4 linked regions of the Rhinolophus ferrumequinum genome follow. Each later gene encodes a partner of the first gene's protein in a complex. Links are inferred from orthologs where the notes say so. Each region holds a gene or a part of one and is shown in the gene's direction. Other genes may lie near its edges. The genes, in order: INTS2, INTS9, INTS1 and INTS6.

Evidence for each region.
Region 2: INTS2 (region 1) and INTS9 share a complex: the UniProt entries of both Homo sapiens proteins name them as parts of the integrator complex. The link is inferred for Rhinolophus ferrumequinum from reciprocal best matches to the Homo sapiens genes INTS2 and INTS9.
Region 3: the proteins of INTS2 (region 1) and INTS1 are in contact, whole or in part, in a cryo-EM structure (PDB 8RC4), measured with the Homo sapiens proteins. The link is inferred for Rhinolophus ferrumequinum from reciprocal best matches to the Homo sapiens genes INTS2 and INTS1. Residues at the interface, in NP_065799.2 of Homo sapiens: Pro40, Leu54, Lys69, Leu72, Arg73, Leu75, Ser76, Gly77, Val78, Glu79, Val81, Asn82, Val85, Gly125, Thr127, Leu128, Glu131, His132, Glu166, Val172, Tyr173, Glu176, Arg322, Gln325, Gln326, Arg329, Gly400, Lys402, Thr769, Met772; in NP_001073922.2 of Homo sapiens: Gly561, Ile562, Ala563, Trp564, Asp565, Lys566, Gly567, Ser982, His1055, Met1056, Thr1058, Pro1060, Glu1095, Arg1096, Thr1098, Ile1099, His1102, Leu1107, Arg1225, Ser1250, Phe1251, Gly1252, Ile1253, Tyr1285, His1288, Glu1291, Val1292, Gln1293, Glu1295, Arg1296.
Region 4: the proteins of INTS2 (region 1) and INTS6 are in contact, whole or in part, in a cryo-EM structure (PDB 8RBZ), measured with the Homo sapiens proteins. The link is inferred for Rhinolophus ferrumequinum from reciprocal best matches to the Homo sapiens genes INTS2 and INTS6. Residues at the interface, in NP_065799.2 of Homo sapiens: Ile855, Asp856, Pro857, Leu858, His895, Arg923, Glu925, Leu926, Lys927, Ala929, Leu930, Ala932, Ala933, Gln934, Ser936, Ala937, Gln940, Ile941, Glu944, Asn1010, Lys1013, Leu1014, Phe1017, Gln1018, Gly1019, Tyr1020, Pro1021, Ile1046, Ala1047, Gln1048; in NP_036273.1 of Homo sapiens: Ile484, Val486, Arg487, Ser488, Arg489, Phe527, Gln528, Val529, Ala530, Leu531, Leu532, Asn533, Phe541, Arg542, Asn543, Ala544, Tyr545, Ile547, Arg549, Leu552, Leu553, Leu556, Met559, Arg560, Asn562, Leu563, Leu564, Lys565.

The regions. Positions count from the first base shown.
Region 1 is NC_046304.1:25,988,850-25,995,694, reverse strand, and holds the start of INTS2 (integrator complex subunit 2), read left to right. Parts: upstream 1-3,826; 5' UTR 3,827-3,888; coding exon of another isoform or gene 3,889-3,892; coding exon 3,893-3,911; exon of another isoform or gene 3,912-4,179; intron 4,180-5,121; coding exon 5,122-5,428; intron 5,429-6,073; coding exon 6,074-6,212; intron 6,213-6,845. UniProt on the Homo sapiens protein: Component of the integrator complex, a multiprotein complex that terminates RNA polymerase II (Pol II) transcription in the promoter-proximal region of genes.
Region 2 is NC_046301.1:29,853,030-29,860,975, reverse strand, and holds the start of INTS9 (integrator complex subunit 9), read left to right. Parts: upstream 1-4,934; 5' UTR 4,935-5,020; coding exon 5,021-5,029; intron 5,030-7,946. UniProt on the Homo sapiens protein: Component of the integrator complex, a multiprotein complex that terminates RNA polymerase II (Pol II) transcription in the promoter-proximal region of genes.
Region 3 is NC_046307.1:43,930,744-43,937,906, forward strand, and holds the start of INTS1 (integrator complex subunit 1), read left to right. Parts: upstream 1-4,157; 5' UTR 4,158-4,430; coding exon 4,431-4,488; intron 4,489-5,086; coding exon 5,087-5,377; intron 5,378-7,163. UniProt on the Homo sapiens protein: Component of the integrator complex, a multiprotein complex that terminates RNA polymerase II (Pol II) transcription in the promoter-proximal region of genes.
Region 4 is NC_046287.1:86,291,268-86,298,101, forward strand, and holds the start of INTS6 (integrator complex subunit 6), read left to right. Parts: upstream 1-3,820; 5' UTR 3,821-4,334; coding exon 4,335-4,445; intron 4,446-4,836; coding exon 4,837-4,914; intron 4,915-5,722; coding exon 5,723-5,872; intron 5,873-6,834. UniProt on the Homo sapiens protein: Component of the integrator complex, a multiprotein complex that terminates RNA polymerase II (Pol II) transcription in the promoter-proximal region of genes.

The DNA.
Region 1 (6,845 bases):
GACCTTAAAGTTACTGAATTTAAACTATAAATTGTAACGTCATTACTGGACATGTGTCAGCATCAACTCTCAAAATAGCTTGGTCACTTTATGAAGGGGCATTTTAAAGTTGTTGTTTAGCAGTGACACTTAACATGGTCAAATTGCTTTTTTTTTTTTTTTTAACGTGACAGAAAAAAGAATAAGGAACAAACACTATTGCTGCCGAATGCCATAACACTGAGTTGTACAAATTGTGATTGAGGAAATGAAAAGGTTTATACTTTTTAAAAAAAAAAAAAAACAAAACTTCAAATGGAATAAATTATTCATGAAGCCTTCATTGTGGTGTCTCATTCTGTTGAAAATATTTCCATCTTAAATTTGTGTAAAAATTAATAGCAATATTACATTTGTATCATTTACAAATGGAGAGGGGCAACCTAAAAACTAATTGATGAACTTTTAACTTCTCCATCTGAAGTATTTTATTTTAAAAATAGATTTTAATCAAATAGCAGCATATAATGTATAGGAAAATTGTATATGCACATACATACTAATTCCTCCTAGGCTGATCAGTTTGATACCAGTTTTCTAGTCTAAACAAGCTACCTTCAAATATTTAAAGCATAGTTCTATCCTATTTTTGGATCACATAAATGTTTTTGAAACTTAAGAAGTGTTGTTCAGATATGAACAATCCATCAAAAATAGATCTGTCCATTTTGTATAAACGACCATGTTAAATATTTTTGTCCAAACTTAAGGACAAACTCCATAATTGTGGTCATTTTAGAATAGCTTCTGCCAGCAGAACTTTTAAAATAATTCTTTAAAAGGATGTGTATGTTGTTGGAACTTCTATCTTAAAATTATTTTCTGTCTCAGTTTATATTACCTCTAGTTTTTAAATATTTTTTTTACTATCATGTATGACTAAAAATAACTATGCAAATCAAGCTTTTGGGGTGAGGCAGGGGGAGGTATTTACTTACACAACTACATACAACCTTTCTTTACTATTTGTAGTTTTCAGTATTGAAAACGAAGCCCTGTGCCTGACCACTGCACTGTACACCTGAAGGTGAATAATTTTGTATGTCAATTATATAGTCACGGGATATGGAGTACAGCATAGGGAATAGTCAATGGAATTGTAACATACAGACGATGTCAGAGGGGAAATAGATTGGGGGAAGGAGGTTATTACTTTGTGAGGGATGAAATGTCTAACTATTCCATTGTTTTCTACACCTGAAACTAAAAAAAAGGAAAAAAAGGAAAAAAAAAAAGGAACCCTGAAAAATGCTATTGAGTGGCTTACTCAGAAGGAATTTGTTTTTCTTCAATAGCTAAATCAAATGTACAAACCACAAACTCTTCCTTGTAAACAGTCATAAAAGACTGTCAGTCTTGTTTACTGACTATCAAACATGTTCATTTCTGCCTTTATTGACCTTTGGGATGATTCATAATTGGCGTAACAATCATACCCAAAAAGGCTTGATTAGTGGAGCTATGTCAACTTGGTGGGGCGTCTCTAATGCTATATTATAGAACCTTGGCGGGATCTTATTCTAGTCAACATTTTATCTATAAAATCAATGAAGATAAGATCTGTATAGCCAAAGCAGATAGCCAGTGTAAAAGAGGGTCCAAAAGATCTTGACAGGCTGAAACAATGGAAGAAATCTTATAAAAGAGGCACACTATGGAGAATGAGTTACATGTTGAGAAAACAAGCTAGGTGTCTCCTGAGGTCCTTTTACTTTTGAAACTGTGATTTTGTTTCCAAAGAACATTGGTCCTCCTTTACCTCAATCTTCTAATTTCTTGAAGTTCATTTACTCAGCAATAAGCTACGTTAAAGCACCTAGTACTCCTGAAACTAGGTAATTTTTTTCCTTTTTGTTTCTTCTTTTCTTTCTCCTCCCTTTCCCCAGGCAGACTGAAAAATAAAGTAGAAAAGAGTAAATCAAAGTAAGCCAGTCAGAGGTGAATGTTTACTTCATCCACGAAGGAGTCGCGACTTAAAAGTGTAGGAACTACACAATATGTTTCATCAAATCTAAGACACCAGTAATTGTAAGACATTATTTTATATGACACTAAGAAAAAATGCTAAGTATAATTTAACACACTTGATTTTAAGACATCACAATTTCAGAGATGTTAAAATGTGATAAAAAGTCATCACAGAATTAATTACATCTTTTTTGTGAATAGAAATGGTAATGAGCCTCAGTGCTACATTGGTCTTCAAAAAGGGTTATTTCCTCAAACATTTTACAATCAGGAAAAGGTACACCCTAATTATGTAAGATACTGCTTAGATAATTAAAGGTTTTGTGATTTATTGGCAATTAAATGGGCTAATTTGTAGCACTATTTGCCATTCGGGGAGTTCCTGAATCGGCCTAATTAAACATCTGAGCTGAAAAGTCTTTATAAATTGATTTTAGTATAGTTAAGTAATCGGCCTCGGAGGATACAGTTCTAAAACTCAAAAGCTTATGAGTGAGTTCTGTATGACTGTCAAAATGATTCCATTGACAAACACTACAATGTAGATTTGAAAAATGTATTAAGTGGATATGAAGGGGAATGGCTTGAGAAACTCTGGTGTTGGTGGTGATATTTACTGAGATAAGAATTGGAAGAGAAGAAAAAGGGGAATTGAAGGAAGATAAGTGTCAGCACTCATCACCATTACACTCTAGCTATCTCATTCAGGCTGGACATGATTTGTTCTCTGTAGATCAAGATGGATCTGCAATGTTTCTCTAATGATTTCAGGGTCATAAAAAATTAGAGTTGGAAGAGATCATAAAAATCAGTTCATTTCCATCTTCTCACGCATCCCCCAAACCCGTGTTTGAATTCTCTTCATACTCTTTCTGTGAAAGGACCAACCAGGGAGATTAAATTGCTTAATCTCAGTCTCAATTTCCACAACTGTAAAATGGAAATACAGAATTAAATCACGTAATTATAAGATATAAAGTACTAGTGCCTAGCAAGTGTTCAATATATAAGTCCTTAATAAATACCATCTTAAAAATGGAAATGTTGTATAGTTGTGAAATCAATTTGTGTGTAGTGACCAGAAATGTCAAGTGAAATAGAATACATAACAATATGTGTATTATTTCATAAAACGTTTGTTCCATATTTAAATGCGGGTATATCTGCATCTGTGTTTTGAGGCACAATGTAAAATGTATTACTGGAGGCCAGGCAGAAAAACATTTGAGACACACTGCAACCAACATATTCTTTTTTTCCTTTGCTGATTTTTCATGTTGAAAGTAGACCTATTTTTAGAGATTATCCCTCTGTCAAAGGCTTGGAAACTATGACGTACTCGATCTCTAAAATGAAACTCCATCCATTGCTCTCTAAGGATCTACAGACCGTAAATTAAGAACCCTTAAACATCTGAAATGCAGATGTTTTAACTCTGTGAGGTCGAGAGCGGAAGAAGGCTCGGGATTAGATTCCTTTTTAATTTTTCCTCGAAATCCTAGCATTCTAGAACTTTGGTGCTGAGAGGGAACATAGGCAGAGAGAGTGGTTCCATTAGTGTTCCGGTCAAAGAACAGTGAGTACAACTTTAACCTACGTTATCATTTGAATGCCACGATAATTCTGTGATGATGAAATTGCAGCTCGAAGGGGCTTAATGATGTATGTAAAACGACACAGCTGATAGGCTCTGGGAAACGGACCTGTAGCAAGCTCTAAACGTACTTCGGAGGAGAAATTGGGCAGAGTGAACGGCGGGGGAGGAAGGGGTGGGACCGCGCAGGCGCACCGATGCCTCAGCGCGGACGCCTCTGGGTTTCCTCTCGCTGCCGTCCTTCCTTTCAGTCCAGTACGGTGGCCGACGGGAGCCAGACGCTGGGGATGAATGAAGGTGCTGGGTGCAGGTTGAAGCAGTCTCCGCTTTCCGCTCCCTTCAGTCTGGGTTCTCCCTTTGTGCGGTGTCCCCGCCCAACTCCCATCGCACCGCTGACCCGATTGGTCCCGGCGTCTGGGTTCTTGGTGCCGGGGTCGACTCAGGGCACAGCTAGGGTTGGGGAATCCCAATGATCGCGTAGGCCCCATTTCGGACCGCGCTCTCGATTTCTACCGCGTCCCGCCTGTAGGGTGCGGAGTTCGTGTGGGGTCCCGGGAGGTTGGAGCTTAGATCTTAAGGTATGAAGCTTCGGCTTGTCAGGCCTCAGCGCGTTCCCCGGCCCTTGTCGGCCACCCGTCGGACTTTTCTCAGCCAGAGGGACCGGTTGGTTCTCATTACGCCCGGGTCGAGACCTATGAGCACTCGGGGCCTGGCGCCTTTGCTCCATCAGCCCGCCCCTCTGTTAAAAGGCCAGCTCCTCTTGCTAAAAAGCAGCGTTTCTGCCACGACTGTTACCCATGATGGGTTTGGCAGACTGGTCCTTGCCCTTTTTATTTTTTTATTTGTTGTCTCTGATTACTCCTGAAGACAGAAGTGCCCAAGGGGGACTCAGCTTTCTTCCACAGCTAATTGCACCTCCACAATTGTTTTTTACCTGTGGTACATAGGATAGTGTTAAGGCCTCCAGAACTTTGAATCTGCCATTGCTTCTAGCTATTGAGGCAGTTTACCAATGCTGACTCTTGGAGTCGAACATTTTTTACATATATTGTGTAAGCATGTGAAACTGAGGTAGGAAGAAGAGCATTCTTAATTATGCCATCTATTTACTTTTATTCTAAGTTGTGGCGCTCATGAGCAGTGTAGTGGAGACAGCCTTGGACTGGGATTTAGTAGACGAAGGGTCATCCTTGGCTTTTGCTACTGTTAATATTACTGTGTATGGTCTTGTTACTTAATCTCTCTGGGCTTCATATTTCTTCTTTGCGAAATAAGAGTATTAGAAAAGAAGCTCCCTAAGGCTGGAAGAGACATTAATATATTCTGTTTTCTTTGTCATCTTCCAGATGGTGGTAGAAACAGAGGGAGCGTGTACTTGTTCCAGAAATCTGTTGCCAACATAGGGGCCCTTTAAAGATAGATCACATTTTTCAGGGTGTTTAAAAAAAGAGGGGCATTGGTACATGTGGGAATACACCCCTATTTTCTTTCTTTTCTTTTTTTTTTTTTTTTACCATTAGGATCAAGAGTGATAATGACTGAGTGTACAAGCCTTCAGTTTGTCAGCCCTTTTGCTTTTGAGGCAATGCAGAAGGTGGATGTGGTTCGTTTGGCATCTTTAAGTGATCCAGAATTAAGACTTCTCCTGCCTTGCTTGGTGCGGATGGCACTTTGTGCTCCTGCGGACCAGAGCCAAAGCTGGGCCCAGGATAAAAAACTCATCCTTCGCCTTCTCTCTGGAGTGGAAGCTGTCAACTCCATTGTTGCATTGTTGTCTGTGGACTTCCATGCTTTAGAACAGGATGCCAGCAAAGAACAGCAGCTTAGGTAATGTCAGTTATATAATATGTGGACTAGGATTTAGTTGGATTTGCCAAAGATGAAGGAATCAAATATTTTTTGGAGCTTTTCAGACTTTTTATTGGATACAGCCCTCCAGAAAAGAGAAGATTGAGAATTTAAACTTTGGAGAGCATTTTACTTGTTTTTGTCTATTTATGGTTAAAATTCTTTTGAATTCCATGTTATAAAATGTTGTGTAGAGAAGTTTGACTATATACACTGTTGTATTCAGGCTAAACTGATTAGGCCAATTACTCTCTGTGGGAGGTGGGTAGGTTGAGTTCCCCTAGAGTAGAGGGATTTATTGGAATTACCTGGGAGGCTTTTTAAGCCTATATCCCCCCAAATTCTGGTCAGATATTTTGTCTTTCTCCCATTATAAATCCAGTAGTGAGCCACTGTTGGTAATGGCAGTGGGTGTTAACTATCATTTGTGATGAAATCTTTACATAGTTCGTGAATTTCTGAAATAGGCAAACTAAATAGTATTTCAGAAGTAATTCAGTCATGAAATGTATGCAAGGAATTTATACAACTTTTTTGTAGATTATTTCAATAAAAGATAATTTTTCTGCAATTATATCTATACCAGTGTTCTCATAATTGTTTTACACATTTGTACTTTATCAGGCATAAACTTGGAGGAGGCACTGGAGAGAGCATCCTGGTATCACAGCTTCAGCATGGACTGACATTAGAGTTTGAACACAGTGATTCACCTCGTCGATTGCGTCTTGTGCTTAGTGAACTGTTGGCAATTATGAACAAGGTGCATTTATTTTAATGACAGCTCAAAATATGCATGATTTGATGATGTCTACACATAGAAGGTAGAAACAGAGGCAAGAAGGCAGGCAGGTTGTCCTCTTCTACACCCATTCCTATTCATTATGTATGTTTTCCTTTCAACGGCTTGAAAGGATCTTAAAGGCCTGCCTTAAAGGCTTTTTTTTCTCTTAAATACTATTTTCTCTCATTTATGCCTATTCTGCATTCTCTAACATAGGACTTTTTTTTAATATGGAGTTCATACAATGGCTTTTTTTTTTTTTAATTTTAAAAAAATTTTTTTTGGGGGGATACTGGGGAACAATGTGTTTCTCCAGGGCCCATCAGCTCCAAGTCGTTGTCCTTCAATCTAATTGTGGAGGGTGCAGCTCAGCTCCAAGTCCAGTCGCCGTTTTCAGTCTTTAGTTGCAGGGGGCGCAGCCCACCATCCCATGTAGGAGTTGAACCGCAACCTTGTTGTTAAGAGCTCATCCTTTAACCAACTGAGCCATCTGGCCACCCCCATACAATGGCTTCTTGATAGTTAGAAAGGTACTATAGCTCAAGACTTGTATAAGCTACCGAATTTGTTAATACCGTTATAGGTATTCTCTCATAACGTGTGATATGTAAC
Region 2 (7,946 bases), on another chromosome or scaffold:
TACTGTAACTTCAACCTTATTACCACTATAAGGGTAAAAAAAGCCAGGGCCTTCCAGTAACTAAATGCTCTTGGAAAGTGTCCAAGACAATGTTATAGTAAATTTCCAACTTGTTTCATCTAAGATCAAGAAAAACAAGTTATCTAAAGCACTGGATTATGTTTAAATAGGCTCTAACTAAAAGTTTTACGTCAAATAATCACTCGGAAAAATCTTTGTACTTATGATGGGCCTTAAGTCCAGTAAAGGTCACCGGGGGGAATAGCTGCACGTAGGAATCTAAGTCCCATATTACTTAGTATGATTTTGAGAAAAACGTTTCATACCAATAGCTTCCATTTTGAGAGAATGAGATTTTGGCAGAATCTGTTAAAGTAATGGTTTACAATGATAATGAAAATCTCCATGGCTTCTCTCATGTGGACAGCATGTGGTGATGGTTTCTCTCTGGTTTCTAGCCTGAGCCATTCTCTCGTCTCCTGTTATTTGTGGTTCAGCTTCCTTTTGTATGGGTTGTATGTTTGATAGGTATATACTAATTTCATCTACAAACAAACATAAAGGTGCTGTACATGTGTGAGTGCATATGTGAATATACGTACATAACACTCTTGACACACTGGGACTTCCACTGATAACAACCGTTTTAGAAATTAAAGTTCTACTCAATTGAGAAGTAGAAGCTAGCAGTTAAGAGAAAAATCTAGCCAAAGAGCAAAGGGAACTATAATAAAATTAACTCGGGAGACAAAAAAATCTAAATAAAGGTTCATGAAACAAACAAAGCCAGCACTCTTTCACCGAGCATCTTTATTTATAAATGTTGACATTTTAAAAAAGTTGAGGGGTACACCAACTTACATTTATGAAAAATGACACTGCAGGATAAATTTCTAATTCCCAAAAGAAATAATTCAAGTTTAAAGATCTGAATATAAAAAAGCTGAGGTGAAATGAACAGAAAAAACAAACACGGTTTTATAGGAACCATGAAGCTGTCTGAAACATTAAAAGTGGGATAGACTGATTATAATATATGAAAGACCCAAAATGAACAAATTAGGCATAGATACTTCCATTGTGTTTACCATTTACTGAAACAAGCAATGACTTCCAATTAATACTTGCCACAAAAGTTGCCATAAATTAGCTACTTCTAATTTTTCAAATGATGAACAAAGGAGAGATTTGTTGCAATCTACTTTGTAACTTATCAACACTGAGCTATTAAGTTTCTATTAGTGATGCTTTAACCCAAGGATTTGTGCTAAGGAGACTGAAATCTGTTACTACAGTAGTGAAAATGAAGCCTCACTAAAAAGATATTCAACGTAAAGCTGACCCCTAAAGGCTTCTTAATGCACATTTGCAACCACAGTGTTCACGATATGCAGTACACTAACTAGCAACAGATTGGTTAAAAACAGTTTGGATTTTCAACTTCCCATAACACAGGCGGCATTTTTAGAAGCAATCATATTCAAATAAATGTGTCTTTTACAGTTACGGGATGAAATCTTCAGCTGGACAGGCACCAATGCCCTGATTTTCTACTTTTTTCGTAAACCATATGACTTCCACATGCTGAGAATGTTTTATGCTTTAACCTGCAGTAAAGGCTTTACATCATTTTAATGCTCAGGGCTTAAAATACAACAGAATCATCCCAACAAATGCAAGGAAAATATTTGGTTTACTTTTAATTATTTCAACCAGACGACTAGACAGAGAAAGTTGAACGAAAGCTTTTCCCATAACTTTGCATTTCCACAGAAAAAAACAAAAAGAAACTGAGGTAAAGGTGGGTGGAAGAAAAAATACTCTTATCTTTTCCAATCCTTAACAAACATTTTAGTTTATATTTCTAATATAATTATTGAATATTTTAATGTTCTATGTCTAACAGAGTATCTTTCAGCCCGGAAAAAAAAAAAAAAAAAAACCACTCTATTGTGAAGTTATGTAGGATTTTTCTCCAATTTTTGCAAAGTAATATTACAGTCTAAGATAGAAGGTTTAAAAAGTCTGGAAATCTTAGTCTTTAACAAACTAAAGGCTCAGCTTTATAGCAATATATTCTATATTAGAAATTCGAAATTTAGAAGACATCAATTTTTTTTTTCTATTCAGGTCAATCTAAATATATATGCTATCTCATGCTTAGAGTCAGCTTATCTGTGTGAATGATCAACTGCAGAAATTTCAAATGAAAGGTTATAAAACACACCATAAATTATATATTGCATCTCTGTGACTTTCAGTTTTTATGGAATCGAAGGTCCTTTACTGATAAGTTCAAGAATTGATGTTTGGAGCCAAAATGTAAACACACTAAATTTTCAACAGTTGAATGAGAAATTATATCAATTGCTTTAGTTATTTAAAAGTCCATTGCACTAAAAAATCTGTCACATGAGAAAGGTTACTGAAAAACTTCTATTTCAGACAGAAAGAAGTACAAAATATATGATCCTAAATTATCCTGGTGTAATGTTACCAAATATTAAAGACTGTGAGAAACAAGAGATGTTACAATCCTGTTCCCTTTATAACTCTACTGGAAACTTGGGGGGAAAAAATCAGAATTCGAATTTTCCAAACTTGTCTTGTACACATAATTCAACTAAATCTAACTTAGTTGTGCAATGTTAAAATAAGTTTAATGCAAAACACTCTCATCTTGATGTGATAATTACCTGTGGCTAAAAGCAAAATAAAAACAGACGCAGGTCCTTTTCATCTAATGATGTGTTTTACACACAAAACCACAAACAGCACAACCGTCTTAGCACAAACTAAACAGGCACAAGAGGCATTACGTCCATCCAGGAAGAGAAACGTACCAGGCCAAGAGAGGAAGGAAGGACTGAAGGAAGGAAGGAAGGAAAGAAGGAGGAAAGGAAAAGGGAAGGCTGAGGTCTCTATACCTGCAGGATCCCAGCGAAATGAACTAGTCACATCACTCTACGCCATATGAAACACGAGGGTTTTTACAGCTTCAAGGTACATTTAAAAAGCAATCACTTTATACGATTCAACTTTAGATAGTATAGTAGCTTTCATGCCAACTGCATTCTCCCCTTCACTCACCAAATGCCTCCTCACTCTTCCACACCAGGTTTCAGACAAATGCGAGACTGAACAGGGTGGGGTAGAAGCAAAACACCAACAGCGGCTTTCGGCGACTCCCGCACCCCCACCCCCACCCCACCCCCACCCCACCCCCACCTCCAAATAATTTCCAACAGTTTTCCCTACTACGAAAATAAGTCGCCCTATCTCAGGACAGACAACAGTCATTCTGTGTCTTTCGTAGACACACAGAGATGCCTACACCTGTCAGCACTCCCGACCCCCAACCCATGCCCACGACTCTTTTAAGTGATGTTTAATCTATTTAACGCGAAGAAGATGAGCTACCTCTACCTGCTGTTTCGGGGTGAGGGTGGGTGGAGGACTCCTTTCAAAGTAGCCCCAACAGTGTCACCAAAACACGGTTCCGGAATAAAATATTAAGAACACTTTTTCCTTTCCCACCTTATCTGCCGACTTCAGGAGGCAACATTCCATCTCCTCGCCAGCGCGTCCCCACAATGCTCCTGCGGGCAGTTTGGGGTGGAGATGTGTCCAGGGCATGGGGCGGAGGCGGGGAGGAGGAGTGCGATCGAGCAACGGGACACAAGCGAGTTGCTAAGCCCGCACCACGTCGCCTCCAGCCCACAAGTCCAGGATCCGGACCTCACGCCCGCTTCCCTGCCCAGGCCCAGTGAAAAGCTATGGCTCCAGCTATCGAACTTCCCATCTCCAGACATTTATTCGAGACTAACATATCGCACAAGTACACGTCACACAGTTTAGAACAGTTCTACACCCCCAAACAAACCCACCCACCTCCGGTTCACCTCACAGTTTCCCAAACTCCACATAGGAGACCCCACCTCCAGGATTCAAACCTTCCGCCCATAGTGAAGGAGACCAGGAGCAAAGAGTTGGGGAGCTGCCAACGCCTTTCAATTACCGCCCCCCACAAACTGCCCCACCCCAGACGGTGCGACCGGGTCACCATTCGGGAGCCCCCTGATTCCTCCCTCCTCTCAATCGGGCCGCTTAAGAGACCTATCCCCAGCCCACTCACTTTCGCCCCAAAGCCCCTCAAAAAAAAAAAAAAAAAGTGAGGAGAAAGAAGTGAGGAAAGAGACTTGAGGTAGTCCGGCTTGAAAACCTCTCGACTCACCTCGGAATCGTTGCTGAGTTCTCTCCGCTCGGCACAGCCCCCTCCCCAACGTCCCGGTACGAAGAGCTGAGATAGGGAGGAGGGGAAGGCGGGAGGGGGAGGGGTGTCTTCCGCGTGGGGCGCCTGTCGGGAGGGGACTGGGGAGGGGTTGAGGTCCGCGCAGGAAGAGGAGAAGGGGGAGGGGAGGCCCCTATCTCCCAGTCTCCCCCTGAAAACCTCCCTTGTCTCAATCACATCAGACTGACTGTCTTTGTCTGGCTGACAACCGCCATATTGATATCAACAGCCCCGCTCCCACCTGCTGCAGCCAGGCGGCCCTGGGAGTTGTAGTTCCTGCCTCCCTTGAGTAAAAGCGCGCGACTCAGCGTCCAGAGGCCCCAGGGAACTACAACTCCCGGCAAGTCCCGCGCCCATCCGCCTTCCCACAGGGAGGAGGAGAAAGGGGCGCCCGAGCCGTGAGAACTACACATCCCAGAATACCATGGGACCCAGGCCCAGACTCGGGACATGATATCATGCTGGGGTGGAGAGGATGAATTGGCGGCGGGGATGAATTTGAGCTGACGGAAGGAGGTATTTAGAGAAGGGAGGGAAAGAAAAGATAACTACAGTTCCCATGATACATGGATGACTACGTATCCCATAATGCCCCGAGAAGGAGGCGTAGGGAAGAAAAACTGCATGTCCCGCGATGCTCTCTGCGGGCGAGTGGCGGAGCTTGAACCGGAAGATCGCTTCTGGGTTTGAGGTGTCGAGTAACTGGTGTTGAACAATCAAAAGTCCAATATGAAACTGGTGAGTCTCCGCTCCTACTGAGGGCAGTGGCCATATCCTTTTGGCTTCGTCGTTTCCACCTTGGGAAGGGAACCATCGCGAAAAATGGGTGGCAATTAGGAAACTAGAAAGTGGGGTGGACTAAGCAAAGCTGTTTGTTGTTGAGGGGGTTAAAAATCACACCTCTGTACCCCTCACCTCCCACCCCCCATACACAACTATCAGGAGATCTTACACATCCTTGGTGGGTCCCTTTGGTTAGATAAGAGGTTGCCTGTAACATTTTTTCACCGAGGAACTAAGGTTGGATTTATGAACTAGGTTTTTGACTTCTCAGCTGCTACGTGAGTGTTATAATAGGTTATAAACTTATTTCCACGCAATTGACACTTGATTTCACTACCGTTGTTGAGAAACATTTGGTTATTTGTGGGCAAAGGGTAATATTGGGAGGAGGGTAATTACTAAGTTTTCTGTTCCTAATTGATTCCTAATTGCACTTGGAAGTCAGAGAAGGCCGAGGTTAGGGTGTACTCTTAGAGGCTTTGAGTCTTAAACCCTGTGGAGGATATGGATAGGCTGAGAGGAGGTACTCGTATTACATTCAGGAGCGCCCTGCTAGTGGCTAGATAGACGGCTGCCTGATTCATGAATCGCTTAATAAAGCCAATTAGATCTTCAAATTAAAAAAAAAAAAGATTACAGTCTGGGGCTGTAGGCGCTTCATGAGCCAAGGTTAGACGAACGTGCCAATACACCTGGCGTCTTCCCATCACAAAACTCAAACACCTGGCTTATAGGGACGCTTCTCAGGCCTTTCTTTTTAGCCATTTTACTGTCATTGTGCACACAGACCTAACTAATTTATTGCAACTGTGTGGAATTAATAGCATAATTAGGAGAGTAGCAAAGCATGTGTGAGATGCCACACCTTTTAAAATCATGTTCCTGCAGCCAAATATTGTCAAGCTTTACTTTCTGTGATTTTTATAGAAAAACAAAAGATTTATTTTCTTTTTCCATTTATATAATTATTTGAACATGTTTTCCCAAAGTATACATATCCCCCTCATCCCCTCTTTGGCCATTAAACCATGTGATGGGTATGTATTTACTCAGCCAAGTGTCGTCACTGTGTCGCTATTTTCTGAGAAGAAGTTAGAAAAAGTATTAAAAGTAGATTCAACTACAAAATTGTCTTCATTTAAAGTCCTATATGGAAGGAAGAGGATGAAGATCAGGAAACCCTGAGATTATCAATTTGCTCCTGGGTCAGTGTGCTAAATACCTAAGAATGCAGAATTGAAAGTCACCACCCTAGCCCTAAAGAATCATGCCATCTAATGAAGTTAGAAAAGTAAGCCAAAATTATAATTCACTGCATTCGTGATAAAGCAGAGTCCTTTTCAGGGGTTGGGGAATTGAGAGGATAATTGGAGATGGTGCTGAGCGGGGACTGGGGGGGCGTGGTGCCAACAGTCAGCTTCCTGGAAAAGTGACTCTTGAACTGATAAGAAGGATGAGTAGCCGAGGGCCTTCCTTGAATCTTCAGTTTAGGAGCAAAAGAGCTTGTGCCGAAATGGTTGGAGCACAGACCATGTGTCTTCAAGAAAGGATAAATCACATTTGGTGTGCCTGGTGAGAAGGCATGCAAATGTGATGCAGTTTTTCCCTACAAACTCGATTGCTGAGGTTATCAGAGAGCCGTGGTTTACTTTCAATATACTTTGGTTTGCTCATAATATCCTCCCGCTTCATTTCTTTAGAGATGTGAAAACATGGAAGGGAAAAAAGTAGAAATTATTTTCTTTTCTGTAAGAACCAGAAGATGCCTCAGAGGAAGAGGAGGTGTTCTGTCTATGGTCCCTCCTTTTTAACGTTCAATCGATGTATTCCATGTTAAAACTCATTTGGGATTGGATAAGTGGTAATGCAGAATTTCTGTCAACATAGCAAACGGGTTTCAAAAAGATGGACTTCATTAGACGTCTCTTTGTGTGACACGCCTCCCATAGAGTTGGTATAAATCCTCCCATGGCCTAAATGTTTTCACTTTGTGTACTGCTTCAAGAATATGTTGTAAGCAGTGCTTTACATTTATATCATGAAACACAGAAATATACTTTATTGAGCACATTCTTGTTTTTGAGATTATGACTTGCCAAAATACCCTTCCCACTCACAGCGTATGACTGCATCTTGTTGATGCTACTTCTGTTCTTCAACAGGTCTGTTTCTCTCCAGTCCCACTAATACTGCCTTTGTAGGGACTCTTTTCACTTGACACTTGAAATTCAACGAGACCTTCTGTCTAGTCTCCCTGCGTTCCATTTTAACCCTCTCTCCAGTTCATTCACTACCCTGCTTTCCGGAAGTTGTTTTAAATTGCAGAATTCTATAATTCCCTCAGTAGCTTCCTTTGTTCTTAGGATAAAGTCTTATAGCTCTTGACTTACTTGGTCCTGCAGAATATGGCCTTGCCTACTTCCAGGCTCATGTCTAGCCCTCATCTCCCTGGTTCTCTGTGTTCCAATTATATTGCACATCTTCCAGTTCCTTGAACTCTCCCTGCTGTCTTTTGCCTCTGGGAGTTTAAATATGTTCCATTGCCTACAACACTTTTCTGCCTGCCTAAATTTCTTTATATACTTCAGGTCTCTGTTTGAATAGCACTTCTCCATGGTTTTGTGGAATTAGGTACGCCCTCCTCTCTGCTTCCATGGCACACTTCCTTTGGTAGCATTTGTGATTATTGGATTTATTTCTGTCCTCCCTCTTGTAGACTCTCTATTCCCAGGGCCTGACACATAGTGTGACGCTGCTAAATAGCAGTTGAATGAATCATCTCTGAAGGATTATCAAGGTCTGTGAATATCACTGAGAAAAGATTGAGGGGTAAAGTTTAAACATTACAATAAGCTATAATCATTGGAGTAAA
Region 3 (7,163 bases), on another chromosome or scaffold:
CTGCTGTAGTGTGAGTTGGTGGTGGCGATTCTCAGTGAAAAACATTGCCTGGGAACCACGATTAGGACATGGCTTGGGTTTCCGGGATATTTATTTATTTACTTTTAAGGCAAGTGCATGAGGATATTTTTCTAATTTCAAACATAGTATATGCTCTTTGCAGGAAACTTGAACAAGCTAAAACAGGGAAACAAAATTCTCTGTAGCACCCCGTCCCCTCCCCACAACAGTGTTGGGGACATTTTGATCGTGTAGGGACAGTGAGACAGAAGAGGTAAAATCAGGTCGTCCCAGTGCCCTCCTGCCCCAGAGCTGCTTGCCTGAGCCTAAGTGAACAGAAAGGGAAACTGAGGCCTGAGGGGGTTGGTCCAGCCGAGGGGGCACAGGTGTCAGTGGGAGGGAATGTCTCCCGCCCAGTCAGCTTGTGCCCAGCGCACCCCAGGCACACCCCTGGAAGTCCTGTTTTGGCGAGCCGCAGTTTTTCCCACAGCAGCACACCTGGGGGGCAGGTGAGGTGCTGGTGCCCTAGTCCTGCTTCCTCAGCTTCACATCCCCAAACATTTGGGGTGCCCGTCATCCAAAAACTGGAGGACTCAGGGCCTCTCGGGGTCAGAGACCTTAGGTCCACCCCCTGCGAAGCAGTCTTCCTGCTCTCTCTTGCTCCCTTCCCGTGATGGGGGACTCATTTCCTCGTGAGCCGGCCTGGTCTATTTTCAGACAATTGTTGGAAAGCACTTCCCCGCCTCCCGCCAGAGGCTGCCTTGCTGGAGCTTCCGTCCAGCGGCCAGGGTCCTGGGCACCGGCCCATGAGAAGTCATTGTCGCCTCCTCCTGCTCTGGCCGAGAGCCTCAGCCCAGTGGCATCTCCTGGCAGATTCCAGCGGTGACACCGCACCCACCTGCCCCTCCCAGGAATGCTCATCAACAGAGGAAATTCTAGAAACCTCCATCTGAATGTAGATGGGTCTCCCGTGCCGCCCAGGAAAGGGCATCTGAGTCCTGATAACTGCTGACTCACTGCTTTGAAACTGTCACTGAGCTGCTGTGGGGCTTCCAGCACTGGTGAAGCACTTACTACATTTAGGGGACGAGGTAGGTGGGAGACGACCAGCCCCACAGGCACCCTGCGGTTGTTCCCCAGAGTCCCTCACCTCACCCCCACCCCCCACAGTGCTGGGAAGTGCCAGACCTGGGCTGGGCAGGGACACCTGACCCGCGCAGGGAGGCCTGGGCCCAGGCCACGCAGGTGGGAGCAGCTGCTTCCTGGCCCAGAAGCCGTTAGACCCGAGCAGCTGCAGACCTGCCACGTCACCCATCTCCCCTTGGGGGCCTGGGGCAAGTCCTTGCTCACTCTGTCCCCACCCTGCTGGCTGCCCCAGGCTGCTTTCTACTGCAGGAACTCCCTCCTGCAGTGAGGGGGAGCCCACCACACAGTCAGTAGGCCAAAGAGGGGGGGAAGGTTCTCACTGTGGCTGGGGGGGTCACAGCAAAGACGACCAGGGACCGTGGGGGTCCGAGGCCTGATACTTCCCTCCATGCCAAACCGAGAACCTAGTTCCTAACAATTATGGCTCCTGTATGGGACCTTCCGGGCTGAAGGCTTCACACTCATCCTTCCCTCATCCCACACACATCTACTGATTGTGGCAGGGCCTCTGGGTCCAGCAGGCGACGGGCAGACCAGGTGCGGCTGGTGGCTCACTGGTGGCTTACGTTGGGCAGGGAGGCAGGCCATAAAGAAAGAGACAAATAGGGGGGTAACAAGATCCCAGGGGTGGCAGTGTTCTAAAAGAAGGTGTCCAGTGGGGGCTGGGGCCGTGGTTATAGGGACAGGGCAAGAGGAAGGCCAGGCAGGGCGAAGGGGCCATGGGAATGCCTGAGGGTCCTGACACTGGAGCAGCATGAGGACAGGCCCTGAGATGAGCAAAAGGCGGGTTCCAGAAACTGCAACAAGACCGTGGTGCTGGGACAGGGCAGCGAGAAGAAGGGAGGCAGATCCCAGGCCTAGGGTCCTTGGTGCAGAGCTGCAGCACCCACACGGACCCTCAGGACGGACCTTATTTGGAAATCGGTTCTTTGTACATCATAAGGATTGAGGTCGTCCTGGATTAGAGTGGGCCTACATCCAATGACAAGTGTCCTTATAAGAGCCAGAAGAGGAGACACACACACCAAAGGGAGATGGCCCTATGACAACGATGGAGGCAGGAAGGACGGTCCCCTAGAGCCTCTGCAGGGAGTGCCCTGCAACACCTCGTCTCAAGCTGAATCAGGCCACCTGGTCTGGGGTGCGGTACAGCCACCCCAGGGAGCTCACACAAGAGGCATCTGTGGGGAGCCTTGGTGTCCCCCACGAACTGCAGCTACTGAGGCCCCTCGCTGCTCTTCCTCCTTCCTGGGCTGGCTAGGCTGACCCCTCAGGGGAAACAGTCCTCCAGAGCTGCTAGTGAAGTGTCCATCTGACCCCACGCCCTCTGACTGCCATACCCAGACCCAAGCAGCCAGGCTTCTCTAGGCTTTGCTCTGCCAGCTGGTCCTAGGGAGGCACTGCCCCTGAGCACAGCAAATGTCCATGACAGAGGGGCCAGTAGACAAGCATCCACTGCCTGCTGGGGTGGGGCAGCCTGAGGGCTTCACGGAGGAAGGGACGTAGCTGGGAGGCTGGGCTTTGAAGGATGAGGAGGAGATTGTCCAGTGAGAGAGAGCAGAGAAAGCCAGCCAAGGAGGGGCCAGCACAGGCAGAGCACTGGCCGCCGCCCTGCCTGACTTGTCCTGGGCAGGGAAGGCTGGGACCTGAGCGGCCGGCCATGGGAGGGAAGATCCCGTGACAGCCCCACAGGACAAGTGCACTCTTCTTCTTTTCCTAGTGGAAACAATTCACATAATTGCAATACTGAAACACAGAGCGAATGGATGGCTTGCATGGCCTGCCCTCCCTGTAACCTCGGGAACCACTGGGTGTATTTCTTTCCAGAATTTGTCTACTTTTAGATAGAGGCGGTCACTTACTATACACTGGTCTATAACCAGCTTTTCTGCTGACCGTGGACTGTGTTGCTCCATCACAGAAGGGTTGTTTGGTCCTTTTGCAGCAGCTTCTGAGAAGAGCGCTGACGGGACGCCCCGTGGCTGCACTGACAGTCCAGGTTGCCGCACCCCTGACTTTGACCGTTACCAGCCAGCAGACACAGCTGGTCCAGTGCATGGACGCTGACCACCTTTTGTGAGTTGTCATCTGATCTCTGCCCCGTTCCCTCTGCTCCCTCCAAAGCTCAGCTTCCCCTCGCTGCCAGTAGTCACTCAACACGATGCTTCACAGCTTTAACCCACGCCCAGTGCTGTTTACCTATGCCAGCGGCCTTTCTGCAGCGCGTGATCTGTTGGGAATGTGCTATGTCTTTACCTGCATCCGTCTCCTTTCACGCGGGCTTGAGCTCTGAGGGAGCCCTCAGGGCTTTCCCACAAGGAGGTCACCCAGCAAGTGGCCGGGCTGCAGGCAGGGCTGTTGCTCTCAGTTCCTTGTTCCTGGTGGGACGTGGACTACAGCAAGAAGCCCCAGGACTGCTGAGAAGCTCTAGGATGGGTGAGACCCTTAGCACAGAAGGGCATGAGAGTCTCCGTCAGCATGGAGCCCCCGTCCTCTGCATCAGGAGCCTTGGTGACTATGACAGTGACCCACTGTGCAGGCCAGGACACCGACTCTGATTAGGGCTTGGCCTCCATGCCCCGAGGACGGGCTGGAGTTTGTAGGCCCCTCCTGCTCTTCTGCACTGTGCCCACTCCTGGTCCCTGGGCTCCCTCCTAGCCTTCCACCTTAGGGACCCCAGAACCTGCCCCTTGAGCCATAAATGGGAGAGCAGGACTCTGAAGGACCAGCACGTGTGTATTTGAACCCCGATGCTACCCTTCCTCGCCGTGTTTCCTTGGGCACGTCACTAAATCACATCATCCTCACCTGCAGAAAAAGAGGGTGACAGCTGCCTCCTCTCCGGAGAGACACAAGCGGCAGAGAGGCCCCTCCGGACTCCCGTCGCCAGAGGGCGCTGCAGGCACCGAGCAGGCGACGTGGCCCATCTCACCGCCCTGCCCGCCCTCCTCTCGCTGCGCTGTTTTGCTTCCGGTTATCCCGGAAGTCGGGTCTGTGAGGTCGGTTTCCGGTTCCGGGGCGGCCGGGGTGGTGGTGGGGCGCTGGGTACCGTGGGCCACTTGTAGGAGATCGGCGGCAGCCGGCGAGATCCACTCTCCCGGCGGATCCGAGGCGGCGCTCACGCGGCCCGTTCGGACTCGCTCCGTCCGGCGGGGCCCATTCGCCCCCAGACCCCGAGCGGCAGAGGAACGAATGAATGAGCGAGCAAGTGGAGGACCGCCTCGGCGCTGGTCTTCTCCCGGGTGACGCGTCACAGCGAGGAGCAGCGAGGGGAAGGGGCCGGAATGAACCGAGCCAAGCCCACCACCGTGCGCAGGCCCAGCGCTGCGGCCAAGCCTTCAGGTGCGCGGCTCCTGCCTGCGGCGGCGGCGGGGCCTTAGTTACTCGCCGGCCACCGTTTTTCAGGGATCGGGGGTCGCCTGGCCCTTGGTCCGAGGCGGCTCTCTGAGTCCCAGGGAGAGTTGGGACAGCTGTGACTGTCTCCAGGACACTGCTGGTCTCGTCCTGCATCGCAGGCAGTAAAAAGTAGCTGAAGGAGCTCCCGGGCCCGGAGGCGGGTGGTTGCAGGCAGACTGGAGCCCGGCTGGCCGCAGATCAGCCCTGGCCACTCGCTGGCTGTGTGGCCGTGGGCACGCCACCTGGGCTCTCTGTGCCTTGTTGTGCTCTGTAAAGTGAGAGTAACGATGCCCATCTCACATGTTGAACAGGAAGCAAACTAACGCGTGTGCATCAGAGATGGCCTGGTGTGTAGTAAACGTGTGTGACTGTCAGCATCGTCGTTACTAACGTCATACTGGTCCCAGCTCTGCTGTGGACGTGCTGGGCGACTTGTTTTCTTGTCACCCATGACCCTTGTTTCTGCTCCTCTGGAACAGCGGGAGGTTGGATTCACCTCCACCGACGTGTGAAGGTGCACATTTCTCCCCTCCCTCCTCTGCAGGGCACCCTCCGCCAGGAGACTTCATAGCTCTGGGCTCAAAGGGTCAGGCCAATGACTCGAAAACGGCATCGACCCTGCTGAAGCCTGCCCCTTCCGGCCTGCCTTCCGAGCGCAAGCGGGATGCTGCGGCCGCATTGGCCGGTGCCTCGGCCCTGACTGGCCTCACCAAACGCCCCAAACTCTCCTCTACACCCCCTCTGAGTGCCCTGGGGCGCCTGGCTGAGGCCGCAGTGGCAGAAAAACGCGCTATCTCTCCCTCGATTAAAGAACCATCTGTGGTCCCAATTGAAGGTAAGGTTGGTCCCTGGACTTCCCAGAGAATGTCTCCCACACCTTGTCAGCCCAGCAGGGCTTCAGTGAAGGCCCAGTCCAGGCTTCGTGCTGTAAGGCTAGCAGGTTCTTGGAGAACGGAGAACAGGGGTCATCTGTGAGTTTGTTCATCAAGGTGCTTCTCGCACAGGGGACTTTACCCCACTTGTGCTTCCAAATTCTAGGACAGGGATGAGGAACGTGACCAGGGCAAGAGCAGAGGACAGGGGCTGGGTCTGGGGCCCAAATGTGCTGCTGCCGCATGGCAGGAGCAGGCGTGGACGTTGGGCGTATCACGGCTCCGGCCTCAGTGGCCTTCTGTGGGAGGCTGGCTTCTTACAGTTGAGCAGACCAAGCACATGGCAGTGCTTCATCACTGGGACGTGCTGTACAGATTGGATTGTTTCCCCTTTGGGGAGGAGCTGCTGTGAGAGTCGATGCAGATGGCCAGCAGCTGTCCTCTGGAATGGGCTGGTTCCTCTGGTTCACTTGTCCGTCAGACGTGTTTGTTGGGCCCCCCTTTATGGCAGACTCTGCTCTAAGCACTGGGGATACGCAGTGCCGAGGCTGACCGGGTGCTGTTCACTCAGGCTGTGCGACCTCGTGAGTTCCTCTCTAACTGGGATGAGGAGGTTTGCATTCCTTTTCCCTTTCGCCCCAGACACAAACAACGAAAAGTTTACCACCCTCCTTTTTCCCCTTTAGCCAAAAAGATACTAATACAACATGAAGAAAATCTGAAACTTACCTTGATCCTATTGTTTACATGAAGCTTCTGGTTCTGCACGCATCTGAAACTGCCCCTGCTTCTCTGCCTTCTTCACATTGATTATTTCTGGTGACCCCATGACATCCTGTAGATCAGACCTGTTAGGTATCTAGCCGGTCCCAGATGTGCAGGAATAGGTACTTAGCTGACAGCCTTGGGAGGAGAAGGCTCATCTGGAAGTTGTAATGTGACGTTGGCCTTGAAGGATTGATCAGATTTTCAGAGGCAGTCAGGGATGTTGGAGAAGAAACCACTAAGCAGAGGCCTGTGTCCTGGAGGTGGGACTGTGCTCAGGGCACGGGCGCATGTGGGCAGCATGCAGAGCGGTGGCGGGAGCACTGGGAGCCCCAAGGACGTGCAGAGTCGAGGACTCAGCTGGGACTGTGCTTTGGGAATGAGTCCGGCGGCGCTGCCTCTGACCTTGACCTTCGATTCAGGGGCCCTAACCTGTGCGGCCAGTGCTGGTGAGGACTGAGCCCTGACGGGCTGAGGTCCAACTCAGGCCACAGCTCTTTGAGTTACTACCTGTGCTTGTTATTTTTTTAGCATCACCTTCCGTAAAAGGTGGTTTTGAAAATTAAATAAAATATGGTTATTAAAAACCTTCTGAACGATAACATACTTCACAAACATCTTTAGAAAACAAAGGGCTGTTTATCATGTCTGGGACTTGGAATGTCTTCAAGGCAGGATCTGCCGTAATTCTAGTCCATCCGTCCGTCTGTCCCACCCATCTGTCTTTCCTTCCTGGCATCTGGAAAGCATTCAGTGACTGTTTCTGGGTGTCTTTGGTGCAATGAAGTTAGAAATCAGTAACGATACCTCCCTCCACATATTTGGATATTGAGAAGCATAGTCTCAAAAAACTCTTGGGTCAGAGAAGATAAAATGAAAATTAGAAAATATCCAAAACTGAACAGAAATAAGTGCCACATAAAGGGCATGTGCGACAGAGCCGAGGCACTTCTGAGAGGGCCTCAGAGAAGCACATGCTGACTG
Region 4 (6,834 bases), on another chromosome or scaffold:
CACCTGTTTATCTGCCTCTGTCTTTCCATTAGATTATAAACTCTCTATGGCCTACCATAGTGCCTGTCATATAGGTGTGCAATTAATATTAATTTTAAAAATTATTGCAATTTTCATGCTCTTTTGCTAGAGAAACTGTTCTACTGTGATTCTCATTCTCAATTTGGATATGTCACTTTCAGAACTGATCTTGAATTATCTCAAACTTCAACTATTACTGTGAAATACTGCTCAATGGAAAGGTCTAATTCCTTTTAATAGTAGTCCCTAGCAGCATGTTTTCCTGAGGATTGATATTATATAATATTAGGATGACCAAAATACATTTTCTTGTATATATATTACCTGAATACATTCTGCTGCATAGTTTCACATCTAATTTTTTATGCTTATTACGTCATTTTTTTGATGCTCTCAACCTCTCAACATCATTGACTATTTGTGATCTCAAAGAGTAAAAAGCAGAGAGCTAAGGAAATGGTAAGTGAGCCAAAAGAACCATTGTTAGGTTACACATGAACACTAATCTGATTATTTTGTTCAGATGGCACATCCAGAAACCATAAGCCATGTCATTGGCACATAATTATTTTTAAACCGTGTTTACCCTGTTTAATTGGTTTAAAGTAATTTAAAAGGGCTCTGGTTGGCTTCTACAAATCAATCTAATTCATCAGTTTTTTCAATTCCGTTAGAATAGCTCTATTTACACAATTTAGGCTATTGTTAAGCCCGAGTCACCATTCTTTCAGAGGGTTTCATAAAATTTATTCATTCTCTTTTAAATGGGAGCCACAGCATTTGGGCAGCACTCCTTTAAAAGCAGCAGTAAAGAGCAAGTTTTCTCCCACTTATCTCTGTTGACCAATGCCCTCCCAGAAAAATCTTCCTTAATTCCCTAGACTGCAACAGCACAGGGCTTAGCACACACTACTCCAACTAGTTTTCTCTCTAGCATTGCAAGAGCTCACCACTTCTTCAGTTGAGTCTGATGAAATAGTTGGCTTGCATTTAGGAGCCATGTTTTAGAAAAATAAGTTGCATATAACCAGAATCTTTCTAGAATCACAGGGATTGAGTAAAAAAAGAGATTCATGTTTCTCATGTTTCCCAAGGCCTAAAGTCACCAAGAAAAACAGTGGGAATCTCTCGCACTGTTTAGTCTTTGTAATTAGCTGTCCTGATCTTTGTATCTAATCCTGGCTTTACCATACACCTCCACTTATGACCCTAGTATGACAATCTGCCAACTCCCAAGTTAGGGAAGAAAGAGCGATGGCTCCATGGAAAATGACTTCAAATAACTGCAATAAGGTAGTAACTGTAAAGCATGGTCACCCACTTCAGTAAGCTAGTTTGATTCCCTTCAAACACTGCTTTGTACCAGCACCCCATCTAAAAACTCTCATTTATACGGAAACAAAAATCCTTAGCCTGGAATAAAGGCTCTCTACTGTCTAGACATGACCTACCTTTCAGGATGTTATCCTATTCTTTGTGTAGCTGGTGCGGCAGTCTTGCTGTATGTACTTCACTGTTTCCCAGAAAGCCATTGACAATGCTGTGCTAACTTTCTTCACTACATTTTAAATGTCTAGGACTTTTTCATTGGCAGCTTCCTCTTCCTCTACCCATATATCCAAATCCTTTAAAGGAGTATTTCTCAAACCTGAGTAATGTAAAATAAATTCTTATGATTCTATAGAATACATTTTTAGACAGGCAGGAGTCCATAGACCACAGTTTGAAAAGGACTGACATAGAAAAACTGTAGACCAATTCCATGAAAATCAGTTGCCAATTATCACGTTAAAAAAAATATATATATATTATTATATATAAAATATATATATAAAATATATTATATATGTAAAAAATATATATATGTAAAAAAATATATATATATTTTTTAACTGGTAAAACAATTTGTATATTGTCGTTAAAATGAAAACAAAAATTTTAAAGCATCAAAGAATTCTGAGTCTTAGCTCCAGATCTAGGACCCCAGTTTGAGAAACACTGCTTTAAGGCACAGCTTAAACATACTGACCCTGGAAAATGCTCTTTCATCACCCCAGGGTAATACATTTTCTCTTTTCTGAGTTATTTAGTATCTAATCACTTCTGCCTTGTAGTAGCTAGTAATACTAATGTAGTATTTTTCTAGAAAAACTATAAGCTCTTTGAAGGCAGGGACCATATTTTAATCATTTAACTCCACCTGGGGTCCTCAGCAAATATTGCATGTAAGACCTGTATTTCATCTTATTTAGCAGTCCCAATCTCTTTAAAAATCTCTCTTCTATGGCACACACTCACAGGACAGCGTATTACTGAAATAGCCCTACAATAAACTAAAAGTTCAGAGGTTGTTTTAAATATTAGGAAGAGTCCAAGTTATGAAAGTGAAGATTTTTAAAAAGGGCCACAAAGCATGTCTCTTCAGTGTTAACAGGAACTACTTCTTAAAATGATCAGTAAAGAATTTCAGCGTGAAGAGTGAAACAAAAAAACACGCAATGCAAGGCCTAGTAAGAGAGGCCCTAAAAAAATCCTACAGTCTTATGAGAACTATTATGTCCCTAATTCAACTTGTATTTCAGGCAGTATTCAGTTTTTTAACTAGTGTAGAGGATTCATTACTTCAGGTATGACGACTGAGGCTTGTTTTAACCTAGAACGCCTTCCCTCATACTGTATTTGAAATGAGTGTGAGAGGCAGCAAATAGTGAAAGGAAAGCACAGACAGGGTTATGGGAACCCCATTCTCTGGGTCACCTGGGCAAGCTGAAGTCAGTTTTTTCATTTAAAAATAAAGAGTAATTCATTATGGTTTGCTACCGCCCCTTTTAGCTCTGAAATCGGTATTCTATGGCCCTTAAGTAAACAAGGTTTGAGAGAAGTATTTCGTTGGGTAGAACCGGTTATTTTCCCCTAAGAATAAAATGGGCAACAAACTGTTTGTCGATATTGAACTCTTTTCCCATCCCCTTTTGGGGCTGTTTGAAAAAAGTGGGTTGAATCCTTTCTTGGTAGGTCCTCGAACAAGAGGGGTCCTGGCCTGCTCCGAGTCCAGCCCTCACCCCGGCTGCTCCCCAAGGCTGAGCGGAGCTGCGGGTGAGGTTTGTCTTTCGTCCCCACTCCCCAGCGGGAGCGCTGTGACTCGCGGAGATTAGTCCCTCGTCATAAACAACCTCTCACTTCCCTTCCCCCGCTCTGGGTCCGCCTACGCTGAGGCCGGCCCTCTGAAGACCAAGGAACCTCTTCCGGAGACCGCTGGCCTGCCGCCTTCCCCTAATTGGGCGTTTGATCCTATATTTATCCCCTCCTCATGTGCCCACCAGGGAAGGGGCTCGCTACAGCGACCTCGGAAGGGGAGATGAAGCGAGCCTCCATTTCCCCTCCCTCGACCCCTATCACCTCCAACAGCCAAGGAGAGGCCGGCAGCACTGACGCGCAGACTCAGCCGCTGCTGTCCTGCGCGCGCCGACGCGGCTCCCACCCCCCCCCCGCGATCCTTCCGCGGTCCGTCCCCGCCCATTCCCGGAGCCCGCCTCCGCGTCTGCCGACCCGCCTGCTCGGCCCTCGCGATCGCTCTCGCGCGCACCCGACGCCCCGCCTTCGCGCGTGCTCAATAACAGTTCTCGGAGCCGGCCTACAAGCTTCTCCCTCCCCTGAGCTGTTTGAATATGCTAATAAGAGGCTAGAGATTAACGAATTGAATTGCGGGGCGGTGCGTCACGTGGCGCGAGGACGTGTCAGGAGGCGGAGCCGCTGCAGCCCCTGCCCGAGTTAAAACCGGAGTGTGAGAGAGAAAAGCGCTTCAGTAGCGAGAGGGGCTGAGAAAGTGGTGACACAGCCGGGGTGCGGAGGGAGTCCCTGAAACTTCTCCCAACAGCCCCAGGGCCAATCTCCCCTTAGCCCACTCCCCTCTTCGCCAGCTCCCAGGTCCCCACTCCCTGCACCGGGGGTGGGGTGGGGAGCCAGGCCCGTCTCCCGCTGGGACACACACAGGGGCCGGGAGCGGGGACGGGACCCCCGAGGCGGGGAGTACGGACCGACAGACAGACGGCCGGGCGCCCGCCCTAGCGGGCAGGCCGGCAGGAGGAGGCGGAGGAGGGGGTACGACGGGGAGGACTGGGTCTGGGAGTTTCCTCTCAACTATCGGGGGAGAAACTCCCCGCAGCCGGAGGAAAGACCCAGACGGTGTTTTCCTCCCGGGGGCCGCGCTCCCCCGCCCCGCGTAGCGGCGGTCGCCGCCGCCGCCACCGGCGCCTCCACCTCTACCATCTCTTTCTCTACCACCTCGGGCCCCGGTGTCCCCGGCCAGCACTATGCCCATCTTACTGTTCCTGATAGACACGTCTGCCTCTATGAACCAGCGCAGCCATCTGGGCACCACCTACCTGGACACGGCCAAAGGCGCGGTAGAGACCTTCATGAAGGTACCGACTGACCGAGCCCGGGCGGCGATCCCGGCCCGGCGGCCCGCGGGCGGCTGGGGTGGCAGGGAAGGCGGCCGGGGGCGGCGAGGCGGAGGTGTCGGGGACCTGACTGCGGGAGCTGCCGGGCTCGGGGACCCCCTCCCCCACCGCGCGGGCGGGCGGGCGCTGCGAGCGGGGCTCGGCCGGGGCCCGGGCTCCGGCCCCGGGAGGTGTGTTGGGGCCGATCTGTGTGTGGGGGGCGGCGTGAGGGGGTGGCCGCTGCGTGTGCGGTACTGGGGGTGGGGGGGCGGTGGGGCCGCTGGGCACCCCTTCTCCGCCTAGTAACCTCGCCTCTGTGCTTCCCTCTCGCTCGCCCTGTTTCTTCTCCCGTCCCCCACCCGCTCTCCCGCAGCTCCGTGCCCGGGATCCTGCCAGCAGAGGAGACAGGTATATGCTGGTCACTTTCGAAGAGCCGCCCTATGCTATCAAGGTAACAGCCCTCGCCCTCCCCCTTCCCTTCCCAGTTCCTTCCTCGCTCGCCCTCCCCGCCCCCCATTCACCCTTCATTATGCTCCCCTCCCCCACCCGCTGTGCTCCAGGAGCTGAAGTCTTTTCCCCTGCGGGCTCCCACCCCCTCCCCCGCTCCGGAGCGCCCTGGCGCGGCGCGGAGTCGCGGGGCCACCGCCATGCCCTCCCCAGCCCGGCCCGGTGGCGGCAGCGGCGGCGGCGCTGCGATCAACATGGCCGACATTTCCCCTCCGCGGCGTGAGCGGCAGCAATGAACTGTGGGGGATATTTATTCAAGTTAGCCCCAGTGACAGCCGGGCCGGGCCGCGCCGAGCCCGGGTTTGCATTAAAGGGGAATCGGCCCGAGGCTTGGCCGCTCTCGCCCTTGCTGGCGAGTGAGCCGGTTAGGAGGCTGCGGGGCTTGGTCTTCGGATTCTTCCCTAGAGGGCTGCGGGCCAGTGGGACAGCTGTAGGTTAACTTCAGAAGTCCTCATGTCTGCTTTCCACTAGCACTTTGCATCCCCAAATTTTGGGTATTAGGTTAGAAGTAAATTTCCCAGAGAAGTTCCAAAGTAGTTATCCTGTTAGCTACCAAAAGCAGTAGCGCAGACAGGTTTATTCTTGGCCACCTTTGGAAGAGAGTTTCCTCAGCAATGATACGATTTTAACACATCATTAACCAAACCATCCTGAAAAGTGAAGCAGCTACTTGATGAACCACAGATTGTAATGGCTGTCCATGTATGCAAAGCTTTAAAAAATAAAAAAAAGTCTTAAATTTTTCTTTTCAGGCCGGGTGGAAAGAAAACCATGCAACGTTTATGAATGAACTGAAAAACCTTCAGGCTGAAGGACTTACGACTCTTGGCCAATCCCTAAGGACAGCTTTTGATTTATTAAATTTAAATAGATTAGTAACTGGCATAGACAACTATGGGCAGGTAGGTTGAATATTAAGGTGGAAAAAACAGTTGATTTTTCTTTTTGTGGAAAAACACAGTCCAGTCCAAAACTACATAACATGAAATACAAGTATAAAACATTTCAGATTAAAATACACTGTACACATAATACAAAAGTGAAACTGACTAAACTGTATGTGGTTTTATAGCCTTTTTTTTCTTAAAATATATTTGCATTCAGAATTAGAATCTGAATTCTTTGCTATAAGATTGACATAAATTGGTTTTAATACTTTGCACTCAGGGCATAAAAGGGAAAACATCCTGCCTCACCACACAGTTTCTCTGATACTCTATCCACAGGCAGTTAGTCTGCAATGAATTATAGACACTAGTTGATTAGTGGTCTTCATTTATATAGTACTAAAAACGTTAGAGGAAATTATTCTATTTGTTGTATCAGGGTTTAATTTAACCATAGTGTACAACTACTCTGAAAGGTAAGATTTTCATTAAAGTGTCATAATTGGCTGAATACATGAAGATTTCTCAGCTTTTGAAGCATATATAATAAGCAACTATGCAGGAAGGATTCTGAATTCATTCCTGAATTAAATGGCAGGTCCAGAGGTTATTTATTTATTTTTAACTCCAAACTCTTGGAAAAGAGGCTGTTTGAAAATATGAAAGAACCTTTCCTTCCTTCCTTAATGCCCCCCTTCCATCCACACTTGCTTTTATCTATTTGAAGATGAGACAGGAGCTTTAAATCACATGACGGTTCGTTATGGAATAATGTAAGGTGGTCCACTGTAACTTTTTTTTTGAGATTGCTGGCCTGGAAAATAAAAGATACTGAAGAATGTGTAATGTTACACATAAAAGTATTAAACCCAAGGAATTCACTTTTTATGCTGTAGTGCAAAGCACTGTTACCACAATGATACATTTAGGTATACATTTTGTTCTTTTCCCAAATTCCATAAGCCACGGTTTTCATG